Linked DNA regions of Pelodiscus sinensis. The protein of the gene in region 2 interacts with the protein of the main gene of each other region in a pairwise test. Links are inferred from orthologs where the notes say so. Each region holds a gene or a part of one and is shown on either strand. Other genes may lie near its edges.

The links.
Region 1: the proteins of GEM (region 2) and KCTD9 interact in binary tests that used the Homo sapiens proteins (3 or more experiments, as listed by UniProt). The two-hybrid records come from large-scale screens. The link is inferred for Pelodiscus sinensis from reciprocal best matches to the Homo sapiens genes GEM and KCTD9.
Region 3: the proteins of GEM (region 2) and AHCYL1 interact in binary tests that used the Homo sapiens proteins (3 or more experiments, as listed by UniProt). The two-hybrid records come from large-scale screens. The link is inferred for Pelodiscus sinensis from reciprocal best matches to the Homo sapiens genes GEM and AHCYL1.

What each region holds. Positions count from the first base shown.
Region 1 is NC_134738.1:9,381,149-9,391,477, reverse strand, and holds the start of KCTD9 (BTB/POZ domain-containing protein KCTD9), read right to left. Parts: upstream 3,914-10,329; 5' UTR 3,720-3,913; coding exon 3,672-3,719; intron 1-3,671. Other genes in the region: CDCA2 (cell division cycle-associated protein 2), read left to right, coding at 6,285-6,825, 8,235-8,362. UniProt on the Homo sapiens protein: Substrate-specific adapter of a BCR (BTB-CUL3-RBX1) E3 ubiquitin-protein ligase complex, which mediates the ubiquitination of target proteins, leading to their degradation by the proteasome.
Region 2 is NC_134712.1:40,656,215-40,665,935, forward strand, and holds the start of GEM (GTP-binding protein GEM), read left to right. Parts: upstream 1-5,657; 5' UTR 5,658-5,808; intron 5,809-7,607; 5' UTR 7,608-7,616; coding exon 7,617-7,947; intron 7,948-9,721. UniProt on the Homo sapiens protein: Could be a regulatory protein, possibly participating in receptor-mediated signal transduction at the plasma membrane. Has guanine nucleotide-binding activity but undetectable intrinsic GTPase activity.
Region 3 is NW_027465886.1:177,599-187,465, forward strand, and holds the start of AHCYL1 (S-adenosylhomocysteine hydrolase-like protein 1), read right to left. Parts: upstream 4,511-9,867; 5' UTR 4,397-4,510; coding exon 4,289-4,396; intron 1-4,288. UniProt on the Homo sapiens protein: Multifaceted cellular regulator which coordinates several essential cellular functions including regulation of epithelial HCO3(-) and fluid secretion, mRNA processing and DNA replication.

The DNA.
Region 1 (10,329 bases), on a different chromosome or scaffold from region 2:
TTAACCCCTTCAAAGAACTCTAATAGATTAGTAAGACATGATTTCCCTTTACAGAAACCATGTTGACTTTTGTCCAATAAATTATGTTCTTCTACATGCCTCTCAATTTTATTATTTACTATTGTTTTGACTTATTTGTCCGGTACTGAAGTTAGACTTACCGGTCTGTAATTGCCAGGATCACCTCTAGAGCCCTTTTTAAATATTGGTGTCACATTGGCTACCTTCCAGTCATTAGGTACGGAAGCCGATTTAAAGGATAGGTTACAAACCACAGATAATAGTTCAACAATTTCCCATTTGAGTTCTTTTAGAACCCTTGGATGAATGCCATCCGGTCTCAGAAATGTGTTAACATTAAGTTTTTCTAGGATGTGGAAAGTAGCGGCCCATACAGACCAGGTCTTTGTTTAAACCTATATTCAAGGTGTCAAACTTGTAAATGAAACCCATGTTTTGTAGTTTCTCTCTCTAGGGGACTTTTGAAATTGCTTTGAAATAGTACAGACATTTATGGATCCATTAGTGAGTGCCCGGGGATGTGGAAATGTTCCCCAACAGGTTTGTGTGTGTTACCATTTCTAATATCTGCTCTGTGTCCATTAATCCTTTGTTATAGACACTGTCTAGTATGGCCAATATACATGGCAGAGAGACAATGCTGGCACTTGATGGCATAGATCCCATTGATGGATGTACAGTTGTATGAGCCTCTGAAGTGGTGGCTGATGTGGTTACGTCCTGTGATGATGCCGCTTGTATAGATGTGTGGACAGAGTTGGCACCAGAGTTGATCACAGAGGTGGGTTCCTGGGTGAATATGATGGTGAACTATGTGGTTACGGGAAAGAATTGTCTGTAGGTGAGGATTGGCATGCCCCCAAGGCCTGTGAGAGTGAGGGGTCATTTTTCAGGATAGGTTGCAGATTGATAATAATGCACTGTAGGAGTTTAAGTTGGAGGCTTTAGGTAATGACCAGTTGTGTTCTATTGCTTTTTTTGTTGGGCCTATCTTGCAGAAGCTGATGCCTGGGTACTCGTCTGGCTCGGTCAATCCGTTTTTTCCACTTCTCCAGGTTAGTATTTAAGTTTTAAGTGACAGACCCTTCCCCCATGCTTTACAAAGTGGACTCTTGGACATGCATATACATAACTCAAAGGTGGTTTGAGCGAATTATTTCATGTAACCTATTGATCTTCATGTCATGATCTGCTGGTTCTGTTTATCTTACTCTGTTGTATGTGTCATTTGTGTGTACAAAATTCGACACAAGGAGTGGGGAATACTTGGTGAGTTTCAAATGTGTGAATGGGAGACATGGAGGGCGTTACCTGCAAATTCTAGATGAGCCACTGTTAAACAATCTTTTATCCTTAAGTCTGAGCAGTGGCTGGTAGGGAGTGGCCTCAACTCCTTAACAAAAGGAATAGGAAAGCAGAGGCCTGGATCTTTTGGCTGAGCTGCACCTGAAGGAAGGAGCCTGAGACCCCAGGCTGGGGAAGAGAACCCTGGTTTAGAGTGGCAGCTGGAAAAGAGATTTTAGGGTGAGTTTAAGTTTGCACTGAGGTTTCAGTGGAGAATTAGCCAAGCGGTTTTGTTTCTTTTGATTATTTGTAACCTACTTTGCTCTACCTACTTTCTCTTATTACTACTTAAATCCTACTGCTTCAACTTAATAAAACCATGTTTATCTTCTATCAAACCCAGTGTAAGCGATTGTTACCTGGGGAGGCAACCAGTGTGCACATTCCCCCTTTCATTGCTAAAGGGGGCTTACCTAATTCTTTGGGGTTTGATCCCATCTGGGGAGTGCTCTCTCAGGAGGCTGGGTTCTAAACTGCACTCTCCTAGGACCTGGAGTGGTTCAGTGTCTGTACTGCTTCTTCGTGGGGGCAGGGATCTCAGCTCAGGGCCTTGGCTGGGGGAGACCAACGGAACTGGCCCAGCCAGACCAGACAGTGAGGAGCCCCAGAGAGAAGGAAGGACAGTGGCAGTGGCGGTGTCAGCACCCTGGGAGGCAACCCCAAGGGGTCATCTGTGACCGCACCCCGTCACACAACTGACTGAGAAATGTGTGTTGAATGGAAGCTAGAGGCATGCAGGTAATTATAACAGTCGGTAGGTTTCCGCTATAAGGTGATGAAAATGTGACTGTCCTGTAATGATGCGTTTCCCAGGTCTGTGGATCTTGGGTAGCAGATATAAAGCTTCTGGTTGGTGTTTGTGAGTGTGTTTGTGTAAATCTGGTCCTGAGTTGTATCAGGAAGTTTAATGAGCAGGTGGTTTAGTTCTTTTTGGTGTTTAGTGGAATCATAGGAGAGAAGCCTGTAGAAGCTGGTGCTGGTGAGTTGTCTGGTAGCCTCCTGTTCATAATCTGTTCTGTGCATGCTGACTACAGAATTCTCTCAAGTTGGCACACTTACAGCAGGACTATCAGATTATACTGACTCCTCAAACCCTATGCCACCAACACTCTCAGCTACCAGGGGCAGCAGAGCGGGGTGGCATGCGGGAGCCAGTCCACGAGAGGAGCTTCTGATAGAAAGGCAGTAGCATGTGTTGGCAATGGCCCCTGTTTGTGGGGAGTCCAAGCTCCCAGCAGACAGAGGCTGCTACGCATTAAAAAAAAAAGTTACATATTTTTTAAAAACCCACGTTTTGTAATGTTTAAAAAAAAATCCTGTATTTTTCTACAGCCCGTACTTACATTACACCAGAGAACGGTGTGAGTTGCAGCAGCAAGATTTACAATATCTACCCACTACCCCAGCCAAATTAACACAACCTGCAAGAACAACCACAACCTCCTCTCCCCCCAAGGATTTACACTGTGATTCACAGGCAATAATTCCCATCCACAAACCTGCGACACCCACAAAGATACACAGACCGAGACCTTAGCATTCACCTACCAACAGGGCACCAGGGGCATTCTTTCCCCGTGCCCCCCAAGTCCTGCTCCTCCTGAGAGCTACACTGCCTTCCCTCCATGTCCTCACCCAAAGTACCCTTCAAACCCCATTCCCTACCTAAGCCCCTCCCCCATCTGAACTCCCCCTCAAAACCTACCCCTCAAACTCCGCCCCAACTAAGCCCCTCCCCCACCTTAACTCCCCCTCAACACCTACCACTCAAACCCCGCCCCTAACTAGGCTCCTCCCCCTCAACTCCTCCCCCTCAAACCCCGCCCCTAACTAAGCCCCTCCCCCGCCTTAACTCCCCCTCAACACCTACCCCTCAAACCCCGCCCCTAACTAGGCTCCTCCCCCTCAAACCCCGCCCCTAACTAGGCTCCTCCCCCTCAACACCTCCCCCTCAAACCCCGCCCCTAACTAGGCTCCTCCCCCTCAACACCTCCCCCTCAAACCCCGCCCCTAACTAGGCTCCTCCCCCTCAACACCTCCCCCTCAAACCCCGCCCCTAACTAGGCTCCTCCCCCTCAACACCTACCCCTCAAACCCCGCCCCTAACTAGGCTCCTCCCCCACCTTAACCCCCCCTCGCATTCCCTCCCGCTTCCAACGTCTCCTCTCCCTCGCGCACCCCCCCTATTAGTTCCCCTCCCCCACCTCTTCTCAGGGTCCCCATGCCCCCCCCAAAACGTCCTCCCCCACCATGCAAGCTCCGGAGTCCCCCCGCCCTCTTCTCCTCAGAGCCCCTTGCCCCCTCACCTTCCCATTCTTGGGGGTGCCATTGACGAACAGGGTGACCCGCCTCATGCTCCTACGATGCTTCTAAACCCGGAAACCAGCAGCGGTGACTGACAAGGCCGGGACCCAACCAGAGCCGCACTTCCCCCTCCTCTTGCCCAATAGAATGCAGAGGTGGGAGGGACGTTCATTGGTGCAGGTGTGTGGAGGTTAGGCAGGGAGAATTGACAGGGGGCGGTCTGCCTCGGGGGGGGGCGGGGTCTCGGTTGTAGCCAATCAGAACTCTTACAGTCAGGCAGCTTGAAAAGAGTAGGGCGTCACCCTTCACGGCCAAATGGCATGAGGCGTATTTGCATAAAAGGGGGGTCGACTCACTCCCCGCCTTCTGATTGGCTCGTGTATGTCACGTGAGGGAAGGACCGGCCGTTTGATGGGCTCTATTTCAAAACTAAGAACTCTCCAATCGCGACGAAGCTCTGTTCCCTGCGCGCTGCCGGGACTCGCTGCAGGGAAAAGAGTCCCGTGTCGCTGAGCCGCCGGCAGAGACTGAGCACCTAAGTCTGCCAGCGACAGCCTTCTTCTTTGCCCCTTCCATGAGGCGGATGGCACATGCGCAGATTGGTGGGGCTAGCAGGGGAGGCGCCTCAGCGCTGGCCCAGCCTGCGGAGGGATACGCACGTGCATGGAGGAGGCAGTGAGTTTGAATGTTAGAGGCGCGTCTAGCCTAGTGGAGTTTCCTCAGTCGGATCGTTCGGGATCCAGGAGCCGCTGGGGGTGAGGGGGGAGCGGAAGCAGGGGGAGGGGCGGGGGAGGCTAATGAGGGGGGCAGGGGGCGGGGGAGGCTAATGAGGGGGGTGGGGGGCGGGGGAGGCTAATGAGGGGGGCAGGGGGCGGGGGCGGGGGAGGCTGAGGGGGGGCGGGGGTGGGGTGGGGGAGGCTAATGAGGGGAGCAGATAATGGGGTGGGGGAGGCTAATGAGGGGGGGCGGGGGTGGGGGAGGCTAATGAGGGGGAGCAGATAACGGGGGTGAGGGAGGCTAATGAGGGGGGCAGGGGGCGGGGGAGGCTAATGAGGGGGAGCGGGGGTGGGGGAGGCTAATGAGGGGAGCAGATAATGGGGTGGGGGAGGCTAATGAGGGGGGGCGGGGGTGGGGGAGGCTAATGAGGGGGAGCAGATAACGGGGGTGAGGGAGGCTAATGAGGGGGGGCGGGGGTGGGGGAGGCTAATGAGGGGGAGCGGGGGTGGGGGAGGCTAATGAGGGGGAGCGGGGGTGGGGGAGGCTAATGAGGGGGGCAGGTATGATAGGAGTTGAGGAAATGCCCATGGAAACAACTGGTTGGAGAATGGGCTGGGGAGGGAGGAAGTTGCTGGCTGGGTGGATATTGCTTGATAGACCCTTGGGCACAGGGGCTCTTCTCTGCTGCCCCTCCTGGAGCTGTGTTGGCCCCTGTTACCGGGTTTCTTTTTGTCATGTGCTACATGCCCCTGTGATCCCCTTGAGAATATGTGGAATATGCTCCCTTTTCTCTTTGTGCGCGCCCCCCCCCTCCCTTCAAGCTGCATCCCCTTGGATGGGGGTCAAGAATGTGCAGCAGTGAGCAGCAGCTGTGACTCGGCATGCTTGCCCAACAAAATTTCCCGTCTTCTTTTCTACCCATTGCCCTCACTCTCCATTTCACCTTGTTGCCCAGTTGAATGACAGGCTTTCTGTACCACCAAGTGCTCCCAATCTATGGTCACATTTTAGTATGATAAAGGGAACAATGAAACAACTAAAAGTAGATAACCTGGGCCTCCCATTCATATATGTCAAACAATGCCACATGCACAGCATGGTATAACAGGCTTTTCCCCCTTCTTAAAACACCTGTTATTTTAAAGGATCAACTTACTCTTAATACTCTGTTCCATCTGCCAACTGGTGTTGAGCTTTTCAAAGCAGGAAGGCCCACTTTGATATTGAATAAACCTGCAGCATCATGTTGTTACAATGTTCTTTTAATAACATTTTGTCACAGCCTGACACACTTAGTTAAGCATTGTGATGCTCAGGTGCAAGACTTGTGCTTATACTGCTTTGAATTTTGGGCATGAATTTCTGTTTAACTTTTCACTATCCTATTTGCCATACTTAGATAACATCTTTTTATTTAAATGAACAAACTGATTTATCCTGTTGTGCTCTAGATGATCATTATCTCAGAAGCTGGATATTTCTTTAATGAAAGTGAGTACTGGCTTGTGCATTTTTAAAAAAACAACAAATGATATGGTAGCACTTTATAGACTAGCAAAACATGTAGATGGTGGTATTAGATTTCGTGAGGTGGTGATTTGGAAATCTCCACCGTAATGTTGAATTAGCTTAGATGGTTTTTGTGTTTAATATAGACATCAACATACGTCAGAATGTTATGCATATAAGATCTGATATTTACAGTAAACTTCATAGCTAACATTTCATGCTTCTCTCCATAGAATGGCAGCAGTATCTTCTAATGGCTTGATGTCTGCATGTTATGGTGATTGCTTTTACAAAAAAACATAATGACGACGTCTTAATGACAGACGCATGATTACAAGAGAGCAACAAGACTGGTCATATTTTTTTAAGCTCAGAAAACAGCACTGACAATGCGCAGAAAATCTAGACAAATTATAAATACTGTTGCTGATGTCAAAGAAAATTTGAAAGGACTTATTGAAGAAGAGAAGGTTTATTCTCTGCCCATTCCAAAAGACAAGTTTGTCAAAATGGATGAATCAAAAAGCTCATACCTTTCAGAAATTGAAAATTTAAATGACCTGAGATCTACACATGTATTTAAACCTGGAGTAAAATGCAACGAATACATAAGGAGAAAATCATATCAGAACAGCAAGGATGATAGTAAACTGGCAGTAAACAAAAGCCTTTCTTTTAAACTAAAGGGAAACTTACTTCAACCTTCCTTGTCCTTTTTGACAGCACACAAACCTCAAAGTCCTTTTTCAAAAGGCAGCCCTACATTCTTGGATGATGCAAGCTATGTGACACCTGATAAAGGTGAAGCAGATGTAAAACCAGATTGTGAAACATCAGAGAATGTAATGAAGACACCTGTTGATTTTGCAAGTGTAACTATAGCTGAATTTGGGATTACTCCAGAGTCTTTTACTGCTAAGCCATCTATAGGTAAGGGGTTAGCAAAGTGACTCTTGGAATGAATGTTTCAAAATACTGTGGTTCATTTGTGAATGAGAACATTCTCTTAAATATTTAATGGTGGTTGTGAATGGTGGTCCAGAAGATTTCAGGGCATTTGGGACAATTTCTGATAACACAGATATAGGTTTTATAAGTAGTGATTTGGAAATAGTACAGGAGATGGAAATTGTGAAGAATTGTCCAACATTCATTATAGCTGGTGTATAGAGTAATTTGCTATTAAACATGTGTTTTCTTGGGGAGAGGGGAAATACTATGACTTCCTAGAGCTCTGTTAAGCCTATTCATGGGAATAGGATCAGATGGAAGGAATTTTGAAAAGGTAACAGAGCTTTCTTCCTCCTACATTCTTTTATAGCCAAATTTGGCTATTTCTGTCAGTGGCATAGGCTCTTCATAAGTAAAACTAAGTGTGAGATTTCACGATCAGTAGGTAGACAGGGTTTCTTCCTGATGTCCAAATGACAGTAAATTTACACCTTGATAATTACACCATGATTGTTTCACAGCAATACTTTTTATGTATATTGTAGTGATGTTTACATCATCATTTTCTACTGTTCCTGTTTAAGGGCACAAAAGAGAGCAAAGGAGGATGTTAAATAGGTTGCTAAACATGTTTTCAAACCGATCTAGGAACTGTCAATATAGTTCTCCCATGGAAACAGTGTTAGACTTCAAATTAGGAATGTGGGTTTTTATTTTGTTTTGGCTTTTCTGATGCAAGGAAGCTGAGGGAGGGTAGTTTTGCATGGCACTATTCTCGCCCACTCACAGCCCCAAACCTGGGAATTCTAGCAGAACTTCTCATGAAAGTTTATGTTGGTCATACAGCATTAACTTTCTATCTTCTGGTTCTTGTACTGTGGAGAAGTGTTGAGTGAAGGAACATTCATGCTGTCAAGGAAGGGGATACCCAAGAGTTGATATGAAAGAGTTTTTCCTTTTGAGCTTTTTTGTTTTTACTTTCTGTAAAGACCTTTTCTTGTTTTCCCTTTCTGTATACCAGTACTGTGCCTGATTTCTGGATACACACAAAGCAAAGAAACTGTTCTATGCTTTCCGTGAGAGAGAGAGGGTGGGTGGACGCACGTGCGCACACACGACCTTCTTTCACCTCTTCCACAAAATTGTTGTGGAGTTTTCCTTCTCTAACAGTCTTTTGATTGTTCCTGTGAGTTATGTAATACACTATCAAGATTTCAAATGCTTGCAGTTTTTATTTTTTCTTCTAATGAAGACAACTGACCAAATACAAGACTTTATATAATGCCTACATTTTTTTAAATAGAAGCAATTTCCCTGGTATTTTTAAATACTTGTAAGTGTTCTCCTGAAGTTTCATTGTGCTTTTTCTTGCATTGTTCTTGTTTCAGAGAAATCCATGGCTTTAAAACTTAAGCGCAGATCTACAATTGGAGTACGGGGTTCCCCTGAAAATAATAGCCTTATTCAATATCTTGCCAAGCAAAAGATGAGGAGAACTGAAGACCCATTCAAAACGGTGGGAATTTTTTCAGAGTTGCGCAGCATGGCTAGCGGAGAAAATTAGCTTCATGTATTTGTGGTATCTGGAATGAATGGAACAGTGTTCTCTATTTTACTTTTGTAGCCAAGCTTTTTTTAGTTGAGATTTTGAATGTTAAGAAAATTACACTTAGAGCATGTTTATTCTACCATCTTAGTTAACCTATGTTTAGGGCGACTTAGTCACTAAAATAATTACTGTGGTGGCTGATCTCCATACTACCCACCTATCAGTCATGTGTGTCCTCTCAATGAGTGCTTCCACAGATTGAAGAGGAACTGTGGGGAGGGAGGGCTGAGAGCCAGAGCTCTCAACTTTCCACAGCTCCCTGCTGGAGCCCACCTATGCCCCATGCCTCATCTTCCAGCTGGGAGCAGAGGAGAAGCCACTTGGGGCTTCTGGCTCTGGTGTGAAAACTCACACCATACCCAGAGTCTTGCTGTGCTCCCAGTAGAGAGCCAAGGGTTGGGGACAGCTGGGCTTCCAACTAGGTAGGAGCTTCAATACAGTCAGGGTATGGCAGCAGCAGGTATCCTGGGCGACTGGTTGGCTTGTGGGGGGCAGCTTGGGGAGCCAGGGGCCAGGCTTTCTTGTGAATTTCATGGCTTCTGTAGAACTGAAATTGACAGACAGCAAACAGCTGATATAAAGACTGCAATATCTGTGCAGACACTGCATTGTCCATAGTACATCAACATAACTCCACCTCCATGAGAGGCTTATGTCAGGGTAGTAAGGTACTTACATTGGTGGGAACAAGGCTATCGTGTGTACACTGACATAATTGGATTGTCATAAAATGCCTTATGTTAACCTAGCAATGTAGGGTAGTCCAGGCCTAACCTGGACTGAAGGAAAGAGAAGGTAATGAAGGAAGAAAACAAAAATAGAAATAACAATGGATTTATTTGTGAAACTTAACATTTTTTTCCTACTAAGAATTGTGGGGAGCTAAAGTTGAGGCCAATTTAGTAATGCAGATTATTATATGTTGGGAAAGAGTTATCTTAAGAGATTGTGAAGGTAAAGCTACGCTTTAAAAAATATTAACCCCGCTTCATTTTCCCCTGTTCTCCCATGCCCCACCCCAGGTGTATGCTAGCTATTTCCATGTATATTTGTTGCTCAAATAATGTTAAGAAATCTCCTTTTAAAAAATCTTAGAGGAAGACGTTAGACGATGGCTACTTAAAAGTTTCGTTTAGAGCAAATTTGGGTTGTAAAATCCTGTCCAGTTGGTCAACTGGTTAAATGTAATTAAAGGGGGTGTGGGCAAGAGCTACTTGGGCTGGGCTGGAGCACCCCTACCCATGTCACACCTTGTCCAGGCCTGCTGTCAACAGGAGCTGCTCTGGCCAGGCTAGGAATGTGAACGTGTACCCCAGGCATGGTTAACTGATAAGCCTGGGCTCATCAATTAACCCTCATGAGTAAAAGCAATTCCCAGCTTGTACTGCTGCTCCCTGCTTATACCAACTCCCACAAAATTGCCTTCTTCCCCTTTACCTGTGCTGCTGCCTGTCCTCCCCCCCCCCTTTCCTCTCCTCGCACCCTGCTTCCCTGGTGTGTAAATGTGTAACGGCATTTTAACATCACTATGCTGAGCGGGATCACCCCTGCCTGCAGTGGGCTGGTGGGGAGCTGCTGCAGCCCCCACCAGTTCGTGCAGGGGTGAGCAATATTTTTTAAAAGGAGACCACTTCAGAAATTTTGGAAGTGGTCCTGGGCCACCCTGGAAGAGGCAAGGCCAGGAGACGACTTGTTCTCTCTGCCCCTCTCCCCAATTGGCCTGGAATGGGAGAGCAAAGAAGTCTTCCCCCTCCCTCTTCCACCCCGACCCCTAGAGAGAAACACCAGCTGTTTTTAAATGACTGGGGGTGGACAGGACACAAGCTCCCCAATGCTAGGGTGAGCCCCAACCCTCAGGTGCCAGATGGAGGCAA
Region 2 (9,721 bases):
CCTGTCCCCCTGGTCTGCTGGGGGGGTCCAGCGGCTTTGCTGGACCCCCCCAGCAGACCAGGGGGACAGGAGCAAAGCCGCCCAGGCGGCGGGGGTCCCGCTGCCTGGGCGGCTTTGCTCCCGGGCAAACGAGCAAAGCCGCCCAGGTGGCGGCTTTGCTCTGGTGTCCCTGGTCTGCTGGGGGGGTCCAGCGGCTTTGCTGGACCCCCCCCCCCCAGCAGACCAGGGAGACCGGGAGAAGCTTTTCTCGCCCCGGAGGACACGGGTGGTGACCCGCCGCCCGTGAGCTCTGGGGCGAGAAAAGCCCCGTTCATAAGTGTGGATCCGACATAAGACGGATCCGCGTAAGTCGGGAACTGCCTGTATTCAAAAGTTTTAAAAAACAAAAACAGGAGAAAAAGATGACAATGAGTGTATGCACTACAAATAGTGTGGTCTACTCATGAATGTAAATATCAGCTAAAAGTTCTATGTCTACAACAGTAAACAGTTTATCCAAATGGAAGTTTTATTTGAGGATTAGAGATAAATTCACAGTTTGCATTGTGCTTTGAGTTTTGTTTTAGTTCTGCAGCAAATCACATGAATGAACGGAATTTAAAGCATTAATCTACTGAATACTTTCTCCCCTGTATAACTGTTCACCAACATAAACACTGATTTACCCAGAAAAATTAATTGTTTTTTGCATTTATTTTCACCTGGTTTTGTTGTTGCGATAATAAACACTAATAAATTCCAATGAAAAATTAAATAAAATATGAACTGAGAACGAAAGCCCTAAGTATAACAGCTCCTTGGCCGAAGGTTTCTGTCATCTAAGTAACATGATCATGTATGTGACTCTCTTCTCATCAGTTGTTAGCTGTTCAGTGACTTTTGGGTTGCAAAACTACTGACTGCCTGGGACATCAAGAGGGCAAAGCAGTCAAGATCACATGGCCTTGCAAAAGTCCATTGGCTCATATTTGGAAATCTACGCATGTAGTAGGATTTGATTAGTATGTTTAACTAGTTATCCCTCTTGCTCTGTTTTGTGTCTGTGTAACTACAGTATGTGTATGTGGCACATTGCCTCTACTTTCACACAATTAAAAATAGTGAGATCCAGATTCTGCCACCCTTCTTTACATAGGATTGCACTGCTGAGATCACAGAAGTTGCTTGAGAAATGAAGTTTTACTTCACATGTATAAAGGTGGCAGAATCTAGCCTAGAATGAGAAACAAAAGGGTTAAGTGTCACATCAGAAACAGTGGTAAATAGGCTCTTAAAAGGGAAAAAAAGCCAAAAGGAAAAATGTGCGTGCAAGTTTCCCAAATACCAGCGTCACATACTGGGTTAGGGTGGTCCTTACAGACAGTTTTATGGAAGAGATGTACTGCCTGGTCACTCCAGAGCGGTGTTTTCTTCTTCCACCCTAAAAAGACCATTGACTGTTATGAAAAATATATGCCCAAGTGTGGGTTTAACACTAACCTTAATGATATCTGAATGCTTTAGTGTCTCTGAGTTTATTTCTACATATAGTGCTACCGTCTGTGCTTTTCAGTATTATCTATTTACAATTTTCCAGTGAATCCATCATCGCCTCTGACTTTGCTTGATCAGTCTGGGCATAAACCCTTTCATTCCTGTGGCAGAGAAAAGTTGTTTTCACATTTAGAACTACAAATGATAATAATTTACAATGAGCCAAATGAACATGCGCTACAGAACAGGGCACTCCAGGCACTTAGCCAGCTGCATAACCTCTGGATAGTTCCACAGCCACCAGCAAGATGAAAAGTGAAGCCAAATGAATAGGCCTGCCAAAGAACTGGTGTCCTTTCTGTAAAATCTGAGCATGGTATGACAGACTCCCCCCCTCCCTCCCCAAGCTTTATGAAATGGACTTATGGACATGAATATACATAACTCAATGGTGCTTTAAGTGAATTATTTTGTGTAACCCATCAATCTTCATGTCATGATCTGCTGGTTCTATTTATCTTACTTTGATGTGTGTGTAACCCCCTTTTTCCTCCCCGGGTTACTGGGGAGCAGGTCACACTCACAGGTGTGCCTGGGCGCCTGGTGTTTTAACCCAAAAGAGATCCTGAGCACCCCAGTGGTGATGGTGTCTAGTTGGGGAAAGCCCTATCCACCCCCTTACTGCAGTCCCTTGCTGGCAATGAATGTAAAATGGCAGTGCCTCCACCTGGCTGGCCTTGAACACACACTGGTGTGCCTTGAGAGCCTCCAGGAATATACTCATTCCAACATACATCTGGATCTAATTCCAGAACAACTACAAATCATTTATATCTAATAGAACACTTTAAAATAAACAATCTTTACTTAATTTGAATAAACAGGGATTAAAAGATTAGCAATGAATAGCATTAACAAACACATATCAATAATTGAAGCTTATATAGCTAGACAACAGTGACCCCACCCCAGAGTGTGCACACCCCTAGACTCAGTCCCAGACACGTGCTTGCGTTGGCGCGCTGATGTTGCAGCTGTAGTGAGGATTTGGTCCAGGCTAAACAGCAGCTCTGTTCCAGGCAGCACTTTTCCAACAAGGCCCAAACTTACTGCCTCATGCTGTGCCTATAGGAGGCAGCCTGCTAACTCCCAGTTCCAACAGGCATCCAGTAGCTGCACTCCAACAGCCCTTGCACTGGGTCAATGTCCTTGGCAGCAGCCTGGCTCCCCCTCTGGTTCCAAACTCCAAGGCAAAGTCCCAGACTGATAGGCCTCTTTCTTCAAGCACATGGGAGAGAGCAGTCCTCTCTCCCACCAGAGTCCTCCCTTCCTGTTTTTTTTTCCAAGGGCTCATGGGAATTGTAGTCTGGATTGTAGCACACAGGGTCTTTTCAGAATAAAACAGGCCCTTTTAGTAAGGGGACTACATGTGTATCATTTTTTTTAGTGTAAAATTGGGGAGCGGGGAATACTTTGTGGATTTTAAATGTGTGAATAAGAGACAAGGAGGGTGTTACCCAACTGTTAAACAATCTCTTTTGTCCTTAAGGCTGAGCAGGGGTTAGTTGGAGTGGCCTCAATTCTTTAACAAAAAGAAGAGGAAAGCAGAGGCCTTGGTCTTTTGGCTGGGCTGCACCTGAAGGAAAGCAACCGAAGACCCCAGAGTGAAGAGACAGCCCTGGTTTGGAGCGCAGCTGGAAAAGAGGCTTTAGGGTGAGTTTGAGTAAATCTGTATTGAGGTTTCAGTGTAGAATTAGCCAAGTGTTTTTGTTTCTTTTGATTTGTAACCTACTTTGCGCTGCCTGTTCTCTCTTATTACCACTTAAATCCTACTGCTTCTATGTAACAAAATCATTTTTATTTTCTATCAAACCCAGTGTAAATAATCATTACCTGGGGGGGGGGGGCAACTAGGGTGTACATTCCCCCTTTCTTTGTTAAAGGTGGCTTACCCTTATCTAATTCTTTGGGGTTTGATCCCATCTGGGGAGCGACATCCCAGGAAGCTGGGCACTAAACCGCACTCTCCTTGGACCTGAAGAGGTTCCGTGTCTGTACTGCTTCTCGGTGGGGGCAGGGACCCCAGCTCGGGGTCTTGTCTGGGGGAGACCAGCAGAGCTGGCCTAGCAGGACCAGGTGGTGAGGAGCCCCAGAGAGCGGGAAGTCAAATGGGTGAGTGACAGTGGCCGTGTCAGCACCCCGGGAGTCACCCCCGAAGGGTCGTCTGTAACCGCACTCCGTCACACATGGCCTTTGGGGCATGAAGCTGTTCTTCCAACAAGAGAATAGTCAATTCTGTATGATAGGACTTTGCAGTGCTATGCAAACCAGTATTCATAGCGATTCCCTATGGCCATAGACCAAACGGCTGCTTCTTATGGTATAAGCTTCTTATTGATATTTAACCTTAATATTGCAAACACAGGACTGGCTGGTGATTCAGTCATCCTGGAAAGCTAGTTGATACTCCAAGTTGTGATGAAGCTCTGTGTTTGTCATGCAACTTTGCATTCGGAGACATGAGCAGGTGAAAATAAGGGCTTATTCTGCTTCTCCAATTCTTGCCAAGTTTGAGTGACTTCCATTGCCTTTATAGGAGAATATTATTTTGGAGAATGTTTTTGTCTTTATATGTTGGAAAAGGAGCACAGAAAGGATCCCTGCCAAAAGAAAAAATTAACGTGTTTCTGTCGAAGAGTTTTGTAAATTCCATCTTTTCTTAGCACTATAGTTCAATGGTAGCGGGTCATTACCTAGAACACAGCTATTCCTGATTTACAGCAGTGAATCATGCTGCCCACAAAGACATTGTGTCCGTGTTCAGAAATGGATTTGAGTTCATCTGTTCAGATTTCTTTAGTTTTTTATTAGTAAAAATGTTATATGACTTTATAAAACACTTGGAGACAGTATACACTGTTGGTAAGGGATCTTCCTTGGATATGTCTACACTGCATTCCTCCTTCGAGAGAGGAATGCAAATGCAGCTGAGCGAAATTGCAAATGAAGCACAGATTTGAATTTCTTGTGATTCATTTGCATAATCGCGTCTGGGCACTATTTTGAAATAACCTATTTCGAAAAAAAAACACTGTCTAAACATGGTTATTTTGAAAGAAAACCCTCCTTTCAAAATTACCCTTAAACATCATTTTATATGGAGTACGGGTAATTTTGAAAGAAGGGTTTTCTTTCTAAATAACCGCATCTAGACAGCGTTTCTTTTTTTGAAATAGGGTATTTCGAAATAGTGCCTGGATGTGATTATGCAAATGAAGCATGGGAAATTAAAATCCGCGCTTCATTTGCAATTTTGCTCAGCTGCATTTGCATTCCTCTCTCGAAAGAGGACTGCAGGGTAAACATACTTGTCTCTATCAATTAAAATTTTCCATTCATCCTTAAAACTATCAGGACAGGAGTGTGATAATGCAGTGCTTTCTCTGGCAAAACGCCTTACAGCTAATGAGGCTTAAAAGAGTAAAGATTTAAGGACCAAGCGCGTATTTTGTAACACACAATATAGTTTTTGAAAACTATGCAGCCTTGTGCTGCTTCTCTTTTATGAGACTATAACACCTTTGAGATCAGTGGAATTCCATTAGCGCCAAACTGGAATAACACCACAGCGAATAAGATTCTGTGCATCCAAAACACATGTAAACATGAGCAAACTGTTCAGTGGCTTATAGGTTGTAAAGAAAGTGAAAAATGGGATCTTGTGCATTCATCAGTCTTATACTGAAAAATAGAACAAAATTCCTAATTTTCAGGTATTTATAAATTCTTGACCTATGACCACATACAGGCGTTAAGAGGTTCCAGGATGGTGCCCCTTCCATTTTGTAACTGGATAATGAAATATATTTGTCGCACTTGAGACATTAGAACAGCACAAGCAATTCTTTAGCCATCACTGATTTCAAGAGCACTTGCATGCAGAGCTGAAAGACACGTGTTATGAAATAAGAATTTATTGCATTTTTCCACTCTCCTGTTTCCCCCTGCAAAAAGACAAAAGGTTTACTGGCATCATTAACGAAGAAAAGAATCATATGACTGCAAGTAAGGGATTTTGTTAGTGTTACTGTAAGGTTTTGCTTCTCTGTATGCCTGCTTCCTCCCAGCTGGGGGCTGGCTTTCGTGTGGACAGGCCAACGACGTCACGGAAAAGCCCTGTCTCTGATCAGATGGTCTTAATATAAACCGGGTCTGCTGAGAAGGAATTAGAGAGGCAGCCACTCAACAGGAGAGGAATTATTCCAGCAGACCAGTTCAATATATCACACTCCACTGACCAAAGGAGCTGACTGTGTTTGGAAGAAACTGTGCAAAGTAAGGTAGTGCTGGCTGAAAAGTGTTAGTTTGAATGTATTGCTTTTGTGAAGGGAAATGATGGTAATAAGTAGATAAATGAAATGTGGCATGTGAATTTGGAATTGAATGTATTACAGTAAGTTCTAAAGTTTTGCTTAGCATGGAAATTCCTTAAGAAGGCACTACTAGCAAAGTAGACTGTTTATTATTTAACCAAATCAAAGTTAACATTTCTTATTCTGTCTTTTTGACAGTCAAAATAGATACTTGAAAGTGAAAATATTTGATTTTGTTTGTGAAACGGTGTTTCTTTGGTGCCTCCTCTCCAGCTAAATTCATTTCTTGCTGGCAAAAGTTTATGTGAACTATGGAATACACATGCACTTATTTTGCAACAAATGCTATAATTACAGATAGGAAAATGGCATAGGTGACAAGTTGTAGAGCAGAGGCAATATGCTCGGTAAAGGCAGCTATTCAAATTCCAGGTACAGTTTGCTGTTTTTCAGCACATTTGTTTGACCGGCTCTGTACTGTCTCTAAAACGTTTTCAGTGGTTGCTTAAGTTAGAAAAAATAATTGCTAGTGTGCTATTTGAGGAGATGGGGCACTTCTTGCAAACACAAATGAGGAATAAAGTTTGAAAACGGTCTGTGATGTTTTAATAGCAGACGCTCTCTTTGTTAATATGCAGAAGAGAACGGAGAACCATCAGAGTTACTCCTACAAAAGCAAAATGTATAAATAACTGTCACCTTGGGAGCTGGAGAGCATCAAAGTAACTTTCCTAAAAATGGTAGCTGTGGGACCACTAGGAATGACATCATAATATTCTGCCTCCAACCAAGGCAAAATACATTCAAAAGTCAAATATAATTAAAAGCCATGTTTAGACAAGAGGAGCTAACCTGGCTAGTTGCTCCTCAGTCAAATTAAGTTGTTTATTTAAAGACTGCAAATTTGAGCTATTTTCTCCCTGTAATTTCTACTCTAGTGGCATGATCAGGTACATACGCTGGGATCCCATTAGACCTCATTCTGCTCTCTTACACCAATTTGATACCAGCTTAATTCCACTGTGTTCCTTTTTTTTTTTTACACTGATATAGCTGAGAGCAAAATCAAGCCCACTATACCAAGACTTGTTGCTGTGGTTCTGCACTATATGTGCATTGTTTAATGTTTGTAGCTCTCAAAACAGAGTCAACTCTCAGTTGAGACTAAGCATGATACTTTGCAGGCAAAGAATGATTTCTTGTTTAACAAAGTGCGAGCGGACTCCGCTGGACTTTACATGCATATGCAGTGATGGGGAGGGTGCAACAAACATTCGCTCCATTGCTTAATCTGTGTAAGGGACAGGCACAACTGCATTCGCTGTAGTTCTCCCTCTGCACACCCCTAGAGTTTCACAGCGCCCCAGAATGGGCAGGGACGAGCTCACCGGGAATTACGTGCTCTTTGAAAGGACACAGCAGCGTGCACCGCCCCCCTCCTACTCACATGATGGGCTGCTAGGAAAGGCAGTCTGCCTTCGATGGTACCCTTCAGGGCAGTGCAGCTCCACACCATCCCCAAAATAGTGCTTAACATTCACAACTCAGGGGAGTCAAACATATAGGTTAGTATGTAATGCTGATTTCAACCTGAATCCTAAAGCCATGACGATGGCTTGCTAATTAGAAACGTTAGAGGCAAATGAAAGAGGCAACCATTCTAATTCTTCTTTTGTCTGCACACCAGGTGTTTTATTTAAACATGGTGACCATTGCTAATTTTGGGGGTCTAACATTTGCAACTTCGCTATTTTTTACTAGGTAAAAACCATGACTCTGAATAACGTCACCATGCGTCACAGCAGCAGTGTGCTGCATGCGCAACAGCAACGCTGGAGCATCCCTGCCGATGGACGACACCTGACTGTCCACAAGGACCCCCATGAGTACTACATGCGCAAGAGATACACTATGAACCCCGAAGATTATTACCGAAGGAGTTGGTCATCAGAGTCTTCTGATTCGGTCATTTCCTCTGAGTCCGGGAGTCCCTACTACAGGGTGGTATTGATTGGGGAGCATGGAGTGGGAAAATCTACCTTGGCCAATATCTTTGCAGGCGTACATGACAGTATGGACAGTGACTGCGATGTGCTAGGAGGTAGGTCATTACATTCTGTATAGTCTATGTTTTCTTAAAGCCTTTCTTGTCAATAGTCATCAGTAATAACACAGAAAACTACTGAGGTTGTTTAATCTGGCAGCCCTGAAACTGAGATGATACACACTTGGCCCTTATTTTCAAAGCTGATTCCAGTATATCCTGTATAAAAATTAGGGGCTATGAAAACACAAAAAACCCTCACTGACAAAGACTTACCTCTGCTGAAATACAGAGGAAAATATAGCATCTGAGCCTTTTGAAGTCTGATTAATTCTTAACTGTGCTGTAAATGCATCAGATCCTAAATTAGGGTATGTCTACACTACAGAGTTAGTTCGAACTAACGGACGTTAGTTCGAACTAACTTTCATAGGCGCTACACTAGCGCTCCGCTAGTTCGAACTTAATTCGAACTAGCGGAGCGCTTAGTTCGAACTAGGAAAACCTCATTTTAGGAGGATTAAGCCTAGTTCGAACTAGCTAGTTTGAATTAAGGGGTGTGTAGCCCCTTAATTCGAACTAGTGGGAGCCTAGCCCTCCCCAGGTTTCCCTGGTGGCCACTCTGGCCAACAACAGGGAAACTCTATTGCCCCCTCCCGGCCCCGGACCCCTTAAAGGGGCACGGGCTGGCTACAGTGCCCGTGCCAGGTGCAAGCCTGCCAGCACCCAGCCAGCAGACCCTGCACCTGGCACGGCTCGAGCCACCCACCCGATGCCCCCCAGCCCTCTTCCTCTTCCCGGGACCAGGCTGGCGGCTCTCGGGAGCTTGCCCGGGACCACAAGAGGCGGGCACCCGCCTGGGCTAGTGCGGACATCGTGGACCTTGTCCACGATCTCCGCACTAGGCACAGGAAAGTGGCGGTCTAGGGCAGGAGAGCTGCCAGCCTGGCCACCCAGGAGCAGGTGTGCATGAAAATCAAGGGGGTCCACTGAGACCCCGACCCTGAGCCCTGAGCTTACAATGGCCGTCCTGGGTCAGACCAAAGGTCCATCTAGCCCAGTAGCCTGTCTGCCGACAGCGGCCAACCCTAGGGACCCTGGAGGGGATGGACCGAAGACAGTGACCAAGCCATTTGTCTCGTGCCATCCCTCTCCAGCCTTCCACAAACCGTGGGCAGGGACACCACTCCTACCCTCTGGCTAATAGCACTCCATGGACCCAACCTCCATGACTTGATCTCACTTCCCTTTCAACTCTGTTCTAGTTGTAGCCTTCACAGCCTCCTGCAGCAAGGAGTTCCACAGGTTGACTCTTTGCTTTGTGAAGAAGAACTTTCTGTTACTAGTTTGAAGCCTGCTACCCATTCCTTTCCTTTGGTGTCCTCTAGTCCTTCTTTATGGGAACTAAAGAAGAACTTTTCTGTATGCACCCTCTCCACCCAACTCCTGCTTTTAGAGACCTCTATCCTGTCCCCCCTCCGTCTGATTCTTTTCTAAGCTGAAAAGTCCCAGTCTCTTTAGCCTCTCTTCATATGGGACCTGTTCCCAACCCCTGATCATTGTAGTTGCCCTCCCCTCTCCCAGCCTCTCTCTTCCCCCTCCCACCTCCTTTTCCCAGTCTCCCCCAGTTTTGTTCAATAAAGACAGATTCCATTTTTGACCACAATTGTCCTTTATTTTGTACATCAAGAAAAGGGGCTAGGGAAGGGTAAGTGGAAGGAGGTGAGGGAGGAATGGGGTACGAGCCCCCGATGGGGAGGACTGGGCTGACTCTGTGGGCTTCTGGGGGTGGAAGCTCTCTTGCAGCCCCCCAATTGTCCCCTCTCCCCAG
Region 3 (9,867 bases), on a different chromosome or scaffold from region 2:
TTCCAATTCACCTCGCCTTCTTTGGCCTTGGATTTAAAGCCAGAGTTGATCACATATAATCTCTTAATCACTCACCTCCTGCTGCTTCACTTTTTAATCTTTACCAATTCAATGACAAGTGAAGAAACAGGAGATCCTCAAGGTTAGGGTATGTAACCAACAAGGATTTCCCCATCTGGCTCTTTCAGGCTGCCACAGAGGGCTCATCAAACATGAGGAGCACATCTACTTCTGCAGGAGCCCACCTTTGATCAGGGTCACTTCTTCCTAACTTTCCCTCCTGCTTCTCAAATTAGGCACTTACCCTGGGAAACTGAACATGCGCTTCTTGGCAAGCATAAACACGACTGCCCTTTGAAAAGCTAGTCTAGAATGGTCAGCACAAAGGACTAGCCAGAACCAGCACTCAAATCCTGGAGATGTTCCCATCCTCTCCCTAGGTCTGATCTTCATGCCCACCGGCCTTCAGAGAAGCTTTTGTTCAAAGCAAACTGCTGTTGGCCTCTCAGTCTCCTGGCAAATACAGGGACTCTCTCAGATTCTGCCTGAGGTGCTGAGGAAAGGTTGGGATGCCTGTGTGAAAGGAGGGCGTTTCAGAGCTGTAAAAAGGCACACAGAAATCACACCAACTTTGCACTCACGGAAATCAATACAAGCCTCGAGAAGGAAAGAGGCTTGTTAATGGTTATGATTTTGTGGAAAGTGAGATAAGCTGGAGGCACTTAGCATTGTATACTTTGGCGTTTTTGCCAACGCCTCTGCTATCAGTGCTAGTCTCAATCTCTGGTTGGGTAGTGGCCTGGAGCACTGATTCCTATTGATGGCAATGCACCTGCACCCAAGATTTCACTGGCTACTGATGTCATCAGTCTCAGAGGACATTCGCTGCATGTCCTGAAGTGCTCCCAGCAGGCCCCTGGCAGCACTGTAACCAGACAGCTGCACATCAAGCTATGAAACTGCAGCGGATTCAAGGGGCTATCATTACGGCCCACACACATAGAATCATAGAATACTAGGACTGGAAGGGACCTCGAGAGGTCATCGAGTCCAGCCCTCTGCCCTCATGATAGGATCAAGTACTGACTAGACCATCCCTGATAGACATTTATCTAACCTACTCTTAAATATCTCCACAGATGGAGATTCCACAACCTCCCTGGCAATTTATTCCAGTGTTTGACCACCCTGACAGTTAGGAACTTTTTCCTAATGTCCAACCTAAACCTCCCTTGCTGCAGTTTAAGCCCATTGCTTCTTGTTCTATCCTCAGAGGCCAAGATGAGGAAGTTTTCTCCCTCCTCCTTGTGACACCCTTTTAGATACCTGAAAACTGCTCTCATGTCCCCCCTCAATCTTTTCTTTTCTAAACTAAACAAACCCAATTCTTTCAGCCTTCCTTCATAGGTCATATTCTCTAGACCTTTAATCATTCTTGTTGCTCTTCTCTGGACCCTCTCCAATTTCTCCACATCTTTCTTGAAATGCAGTTCCCAGAACTGGACACAATACTCCAACTGAGGCCTAACCAGCGCAGAGTAGAGCGGAAGAATGTCTTCTCGCGTCTTGCTCACAGCACACCTGTTAATGCATCCTAGAATCATGTTTGCTTTTTTTCCCAACAGCATCACACTGTCGACTCCTATTTAGCTTGTGGTCCACTATAACCCCTAGATCCCTTTCTGCCGTACTCCTTCCTAGACAGTCGCTTCCCATTCTGTATATGTGAAACTGATTGTTCCTTCCTAAGTGGAGCACTTTGCATTTGTCTTAATTAAACTTCACCCTGTTTACCTCAGACCATTTCTCCAATTTGTCCAGTTACGAGCATAAGAACGGTCTGACCAAAGATCCATCTCGCCCAGCGTCCTGTCTGCCGGCAGTGGCCAGTGCCAGGTGCCCCAGAGGGAGGGAATAGAACAGGGAATCACCATGTGATCCCTCCCCTGTCTTAGAATGAGTCCTTTTAGAGCTCCTCTCACAAGAACAAGATTGAGCTAAACCCTATGCATCCTCACATTAAAGGGAGGGCTGTCCCACACTGCTCACCACCCCTGCTGTAACTGCCACCCCCACACCCCACCCCCACCATGGGATGCTTATGTGTTACAGCGTATTCATCTGTCATATCACTGCCACACTACAGCTTATGTGGGCACAAGCCTCAGGCTATACTTCCATCTCTATTGTGCAAGATTGCAAGGAGATAACACTCAAAAGAAGTGTTTGCTTTACTTCTCTCAGAAGCATGGTTACAGCTGCAGAATCACCTCTGGGGAAAAGCAGCTCTTAGCCTCTGCATTCTTCTGCTCCTTGCTCCAGGCTATATCCACTGTCTGCATAGATACCATGCACAGAAAGATCCATGGAGGGCTTGTCACTGGCAGCTGAATGCTAGTTATTCAAGATTAGGCAGAAGGGGATGTCTCAAATGCAAATGATTTAAAAGGCCTGTAGTACCTCCGCCCTCTAAAATTCCAGCACCTATGCAAACAATCAAAACTTTCTCACAGGAAGGCTTTGCATTTCCAGTGGCTGAGCACGCTAGTGTTTTTCCCATTTACTCTGTTCAAGTCCTAACACTGAGGCATGTGGCATAACCCTAGGGGAAAACATGATATTCAATACAGCCGGGATCTCCCACAGCCAGTCTAGATCCCAGAGTCCCCACTCTCTTGACACATGCAAAGTTAAGACCTGAAATTCACCATAAGTGCAACTCTACCAGTGGTGGCTACAGCAAAGAGTTTTTACCATCTTCTTGTATAATCCAACTCAGACAAAATTGAGATGATGGAGAGGTAAAAGCCTCAGTAACCAAGTCTGAGGACTCTCACCTTTGCTAGCACTGAGCAGCTGATGGGAGAATTTCAGTCATGTTCTAGGTGAAGAGACAAGAGGGGAATGCTGAGCACAGAGAGCACTCCAGGAAGCTTTAGAGCTGCATCCCCTTCAAACTTGCCATCAGATGGGCCCTTCTCTCAAAGCTGCCCTCAAATCCCTCCTCACACTGGTTGCCCACACTTGTCCACTGCACCCACAAACATACTGCTCCCGAAAATGCCTGGCTTGCTGTATTCTTGAAATATTCAGGGGATATTTAATCACATCTCCTGGGCTTCCCTACACCTTGCTGTCATGACCCAGTTCATAAGCTACTGGTACCTTCCTCCCAGCCTCAAAGCCATCCTCCAACCCACTCCCAGGTTGCCTTCCTGCTGACCCTGAGATCATAGAAGATAACTTGCCCAGTTCAAATCAAACCTACCCACCTGACTCATGACAGACACCTGTACAGGGCCATCACAATTCCCCCTCACACCCACCCTACAAAGCTTTGTGAATTGTCCTCCCTACAACTCCAGGACACTCCATCCTGCAAACAGCTTCCCCACCCACATCCTATGGGCAGCCGCTCCCCCTGCTCCCCTTCCAGTGCAACCCATGGGAGTCACAGCAGGTGGCCAGCTCCCCTATGACCTGTAATCCCCACTGCCAGGTACATGCTGCCAGTTCACAGGCCTTTACCCTCACCCACCCCTACTTGGCAGCCGGCTTGGATATGCTGCCAACAGGATCTCAAGAGCAGAAGCCCATCACCACTACCCTCTGTACCCCACCCCCGAACTGGATAGCCCTACCTGGAACCAGCCTCCCCCCACTCGCCACCCTCCCACACAGATCCTGAGCCTCCTTCCCCTTCGCCCCCACCTCCCCGAGTCCCCTTCGGCCCCTGCGGCCCCCTTCCCCACCGCCCCCCCACACTTCCCCAAACCCCCTTCCCCACCGCCCCCCCACACTTCCCCAAACCCCCTTCCCCACCGCCCCCCCCACACTTCCCCAAACCCCCTTCCCCACCGCCCCCCCCACACTTCCCCAAACCCCCTTCCCCACCGCCCCCCCCACACTTCCCCAAACCCCCTTCCCCACCGCCCCCCCCACACTTCCCCAAACCCCCTTCGGCCCCCGCGGCCCCCTTCCCCCCCGCCCCCCCACACTTCCCCAAACCCCCTTCCCCACCGCCCCCCCACACTTCCCCAAACCCCCTTCGGCCCCCGCGGCCCCCTTCCCCCCCGCCCCCCCACACTTCCCCAAACCCCCTTCCCCACCGCCCCCCCACACTTCCCCAAACCCCCTTCCCCACCGCCCCCCCACACTTCCCCAAACCCCCTTCCCCACCGCCCCCCCACACTTCCCCAAACCCCCTTCGCCCCCGCCCCCCCACACTTCCCCAAACCCCCTTCGCCCCCGCCCCCCCGCATCCCCCTTCGCCCCCCCGCCCCGGTACCTTCTTGGGCGCCTTGGTGACCGTGGCCAGGAACGAGAACTTCTCGGCGGCCTCGCTCTCCTTGGCCTGCTTCAGCTCGTCCCCGCCGGCCGGGTCGGGCAGCGACATGGTGGCGCGGGGGGGGGGGGGGGGGGGGGGGGGGGGCGCGGGGCTCAGGCAGGAGGCTCCGGCTCCGAGCGCTCTGCGGCAACGGGACTGCGGACGCCGCGCGCTCCGGCAGGGGGTGGGGCTTGCAGCGGCGCACGCCACACGTCACACGCCGAACGGATGGGGCGGGGCCTGACGTCACGCGGCACGCACGGGCCGGGAGGGGAGGCCGCACGCACAGAGGGTAGAGCTCGCGGCGGCGCCCCCTAGCGGAGGAGAGTGGGAGCGTCCCACCGCCTCCACGTGGCGTTGCAGCGGCCAGACCTAACGGGGGCGGGGGAGCACGTGGGGCTGAGCCTAGCACTGGATTTCCTGTCCCAGTGGGCACCACTTCCTCTGAGCGTTGGGGGGCTATGTGGGTTGGGGGGCTGACCAACCATGAAGAGGGGTCTCACCAAACAAAATGGCAGGTGAAATTGAGCGCTGATAAATGCAAAATAATGCACCTTGGAAAACATCTCCTTAAATGTAGGTATGAAATGGTGGGATCTGAATGACCTGGTCCCGCCCAGGAAGGGGGTCTTGGAGTCATTGTGCATGGTTCCCTGGAAACACCCCACACACTGTGCAGTGGCCGTGGGCATAGCGAAGGCTGTGTCTACATTGGCAAGATTTTGTGCAAAAGTGGTTGCTTTTGCACAAAAACTTGCCACCTGTCTACACTGGCCGCAAGTTCTTGCACAAGAACACTGACGTTCTAATGTGTGAAATCAGGGCTTCTTGCACAAGAACTCTGGCGCTCCCGCTCAGGAATAAGCCCTCTTGCGCAAGAGGGTCAGTGTAGACAAGCAACATGAATTTCTTGCACAAGAAAGCCCGATGGCTAAAATGGCTACCGGAGCTTTCTTGCGCAAAAGAGTGTCTACGCTGGCACAGATGCTTCTGTGCAAAAGCACATCTCTTGCGCAAAAGCACATGCCAGTGTAGACGCTCTCTTTCGCAAATACTTCAACGCAAAAACTCTTGCGTTAAAAGTATTTGCGCAAAATCTTGCCAATGTAGACATAGCCTAAGAGAACATTGAATCATTAAGAAAGATTAGATAACCAGACAGGAACTAGCTTGCCATGGTAAGTTGTGGTGGGCCAAAAAGAGTTAAATCCAGCCCTGGGAGAGGCTGTGGAGCAAGCAGATGTGGCAGAGAGCAGCCAATTAGGGTCCAGCATGGGCTGTATAAATAAGGGCTCCCCAAGGGAGGAAAGACTCACTCTTGAGTCAGCAGCAGGGGAGCAGGAGGGGCCTGGCTGCCAGGGAAGCTGGAGGCTTCCTGTGACAGAGCAGGCTGGGGAAAGGCAGGCAGAGCTGGGGAGCTCGGGCCTGACCTCACTCCCAGATTGCAGGGCCTTAGGCAAGGCAAGGCCTGAGGGCATTAGAGCTGCAAGGAGACAGCTAGGATAGAAGACCACAACCAAGGGCACCATTTAGGGAAGTTAGGGAAGCAGTAGCCCCCTTCCCCCCCGGCTACATCCACAGTGCAGGCGTCTTGTACAAGAACTCTTTTGCACAAGAGGTCTTGCACAAGAGTGCATCCACACTGCCATGTGCTTTTGCACAAGAGCGCCCATGGCAGTGTGGACGCTCTCTTGCGCAAGAAAGCTCTGATGGCCATTTTAGCCATAGGGGAATCTTGTGCAAGAAACCCCTGTTGCTCGTCCACACTGCCTTCTTGCACAAGAGCTCTTGCACAAGAGGGCTTATTCCTCGTGGGGAGAGGAATAACTCCTGCGCAAGAAGCCCGATGTTCTACTGTAAATTTACTTGCACAAAAATGCGCATGCAGTGTAGATGCTCCGCAAGTTTTTGCGCAAGAACAGATGTTCTTGCACAAGAAGCCTGCAGTGTAGATGTAGCCCTAATGTTTGAATCCCTGGTTTTCATTCTTGAGGCCTGCTTAAAGCTGCAGCCCCTGGTTCCAGACACAGTTCTTAAACACAACAGAGTTTGAGCCGCTTGCAGCTTTGCTTTTGGGCAAGGAGCTTGTAAAAAGAGGGAGGCTGGTGATTAAGATTAATGAAAGACTGGCCATTCAAATAATTGAAGGATCATTTAGATCATAGGTTTCCAAACTGGGGGGCGTGAAGAAATTCCAGGGGGGTGCAAGGTGACCCAGCCCCCCCGAACCTCCCCAAGAAAGACCCCGTGCTGGCATTACCTCACCCAAAGTTCATCTTTAACTGTTTGTTTTGCGCCGCAGCTTCCCGAAGTCTCCCTCCCTCCCTCCTCCCGGGGCTACAGACTCGCCCCAGAGCCACTTGGAAAAGGTGCTAATTTCCCCTGGACAATAGGGGCCACGGAGCTTGGCTTTTTGAATGATCATTGATTTAAAAGGCTCAAACGGGGGCAGACTTGCAAACAGCTACCAATTCAAACTCAGGAAGCAGCCCAGGGAATAAGTAGCACACGTGCTTCCTGAGACCCCGGACCTGGTTGCAGGACCCCCAGGTACCAGCTTAGCTGTCCTCTCTCCTCACCCAGACCCCTACAAGTACCCTGTCCCCCATCCAAACCCCCACGAGTAACCTGCCCCCCCTCCCCAAACCCCCACAAGTACCATGCCCCCCACCCAACCCCCCTGAGTACCATGCCCTACCTTCTACCTTTTCTCTCGGCTGCCATGTCTCCTCCCCTTGCTCCATCAGCTCCCCCGGTGCCTGCTGCCCCCAACCCCTCACCCTCCTCTGCTGTCCTGACTCCTGCCCTTCTCACTGCCCTCAGCCCTCCTGTGACCTGCCCCCCTCCACCAGCCCTTCTCTCCCCCTGTGCCCACTCCTCCAGTAGCCCCACTCTGTTCATGTGAGCTACCCCTCCTCATCCCCTCTCCTAACACCTCCCTCTACACACCTGCCCTGCCTCTCTCCTCTGGTGCTGGTCCCTCCCCTGCAGGTGTCTGCCCTCCTGCTCCACCCCCAGAATCTCTTGGCCCCTGCACCCTCCCTCACTGCCCCTGCCCCCTTTGCCCTCTTTTTCCCTGATACCCACCCCCTCACCACCCTCTGCCCCATTCCCCTCATGCCCCTATGCCCTCACAGATGCCTTGCTCCATCCCCGCCTTCCTCATGCCCACCCCTTCTTTTAAGCCTTCTCCCAGCACCTCCCCCTCCCCCCTCTAGCCCCCAATGCCCTTCCCCTCTCCTCTCCCAGCATCACCCTGTCCCCCCTCCCACTGACACCTCCCCTCCTGCCCTTTCCCTCGTTGTCTGCACTTGGCCCCCTGGCGTTTGTCTCTCCTGCACCCCCATCCCTTGGTGCCTTCCCCTTTCTTCTTCTTCTTCTCCTGACCTCCCCCTTCCCCTCCCTTCCTCTCAGCACAAGCCCCTTCCCCATATTTTTCCCCTCCCCACAGCCCAGCCCAGCCCAGCCCCTTCCCCTGCCCCAGGGCCAGCTCTAGGTTTTTTGCTACCCCAAGCAAAACATTTTTGGCCGCCCCCCCTTTGTTGTTGTCTTTTATACATGTTTGCATTTTGCGATGGGGTTTTCTTTGTTTGTTTTTGTTTTTGTCCCGCATTTTAGCCCTAGAAATAGCAAATAGCATTTTCATTCGGTTTTTTCCATAAAGGCAAAGGCGCTTCAAGTGAACTCCCCCTTCCACTCTCTGCTGGGTCACAGCAGCCTTTTCCCTGCCCTGTCCAGCCCCTCCCTATGGGCAAGCACCCTTCACTCCGACCCACAGGGGGAGCAGGGTGCAGGGGCAGCACAGAGCCAGAGGAGTGCAGGGAACAGTGGGGGAGTACGGGGGTGGCGCGGGGAACGGGAGGGGCAGAGGGATCGGGGTCTGGGGCAGTGCAGGGAATGGGCAGCACAGAGCTGGGGGGGCAGGGATCAGGGGGAGCAGGGTGTGGGGTGCAAGGGCGGCGCAGAGCCAAGGGGTTGCAGGGAAGAGGGAGAGCAGGGGGCCCGGGGAGTAGTGGTGGCGTGGGGAACGGGTGGCACGGAGACAAAGGGGGAATGGGGCCATAGCAGGACTGGGGCTGGCAGGGCGGGCCCTGGCTGCGCTGTGTGCCGTGCGCCGCAGCCAGCTCCCAGGGACACGCGGCCAGAGCCAAGCTACCGTGGCTCTTTAAAATCAGCGGGGCCACGTCACACCAGCGTCCTGGCGTCCCGCCCCGCCCCCTCGCGCTGGAGCTACACGCAGGCAGCCCGGTGGCAAGAATCGCTGCACTTCCCCCTTCCCAGCAGCGCTGTGCTCCTCCACCGGCCAGTGCAGGCTTCGGCCAGCCCATCACAACAGCCCACCAGGCCAGTCCACCCCTGCACTCGCCAGCTGGTAAAATCTACTCATTGCAGGCAAGCAGATTGCATTATTTGTCAAGCCCTCTCTCTCTCTCTATATATACACCCTTTCGAAGTATAGGGGAACCAGTTTGGTTGGTGGGGAGGCCAAAGGACAATGTAGAAGGAAATGAAACTTTTTCAAACTTTCTAGCATGCTTGCGGGACTGTTCTATCGTGGGAGTAAATTAATGGAGATGCCTATCTCCTAGAGCTGGAAGAGGCCTTGAAAGGTCATTGAGTCCAGTCCCTTGCCTTCACAGCAGGATCATGTACCATCCCTGACAAACTTTTGCCCCAAATGGCCTCCACAAGGATTGAACTCACAGCCCTGGGTTTAGCAGGCCAATGCTCAAACCACTGAGCTATCCCTCTTGCTTGGTTACTGGTGGTGGGGTATATATAAGATAGTACGCGTCCGTACGTAATAGTAGTAGTAAATAAATGTTTGCAATAACTTATCAAAGTAACTTGTGTCCATTAAATTTATTCTAATTGGGAACATTATTTTTATAGTTTGTTTTAAATTAATATATTATGGCTGCGATTAAGAAAAGGAAGTATGATGAAGTCTACATGAAATATGTCTTCACTGTCATGGGGGAAAAAAAGATCCATCATTCTCCATGTGTAGAATGCCACACAGTTCTTAGCAATGACGCCTTGAGACCTAGTTGTCTTGAGCAACACTTGGCGAAGAACCACAGCACTTTGACAGACAAACCAAAAGAGTTTTTTGCTGCTAAACTTCAAAATTTGAAATGCAAAGCTGGACACTATTGGAGCTTTTCATCAACCATCGGCCAAAGAAGTAGAAGCTTCTTATGAACTGTCATTGCTCATCGCTAAAGCCAAGAAAGCGCACGTAATCGGAGAAACGCTTGTGAAGCCTTGCTTGTTGAAAGCTGCTGATATTGTGCTTGGTGTCAAAAGCAAGAAAAAACTATTGGAAATTTCACTTTCTAACAATTCCTTGAAACGTCTCATCGATGAGCTGGCGAAAGTTCTTTAAACTTCAAGTTGTGGAGGCAGTGTTGGCTTCTTCTTTTGCAATTCAGTGCAACGATACCACTGATGTAGCACAATGTTGTCAGTTGCTTGTCTACGTTCAATTCATTAATAATGGAACTGTGAAAGAAGAACCGCTTTTTTCGAAGGAATTG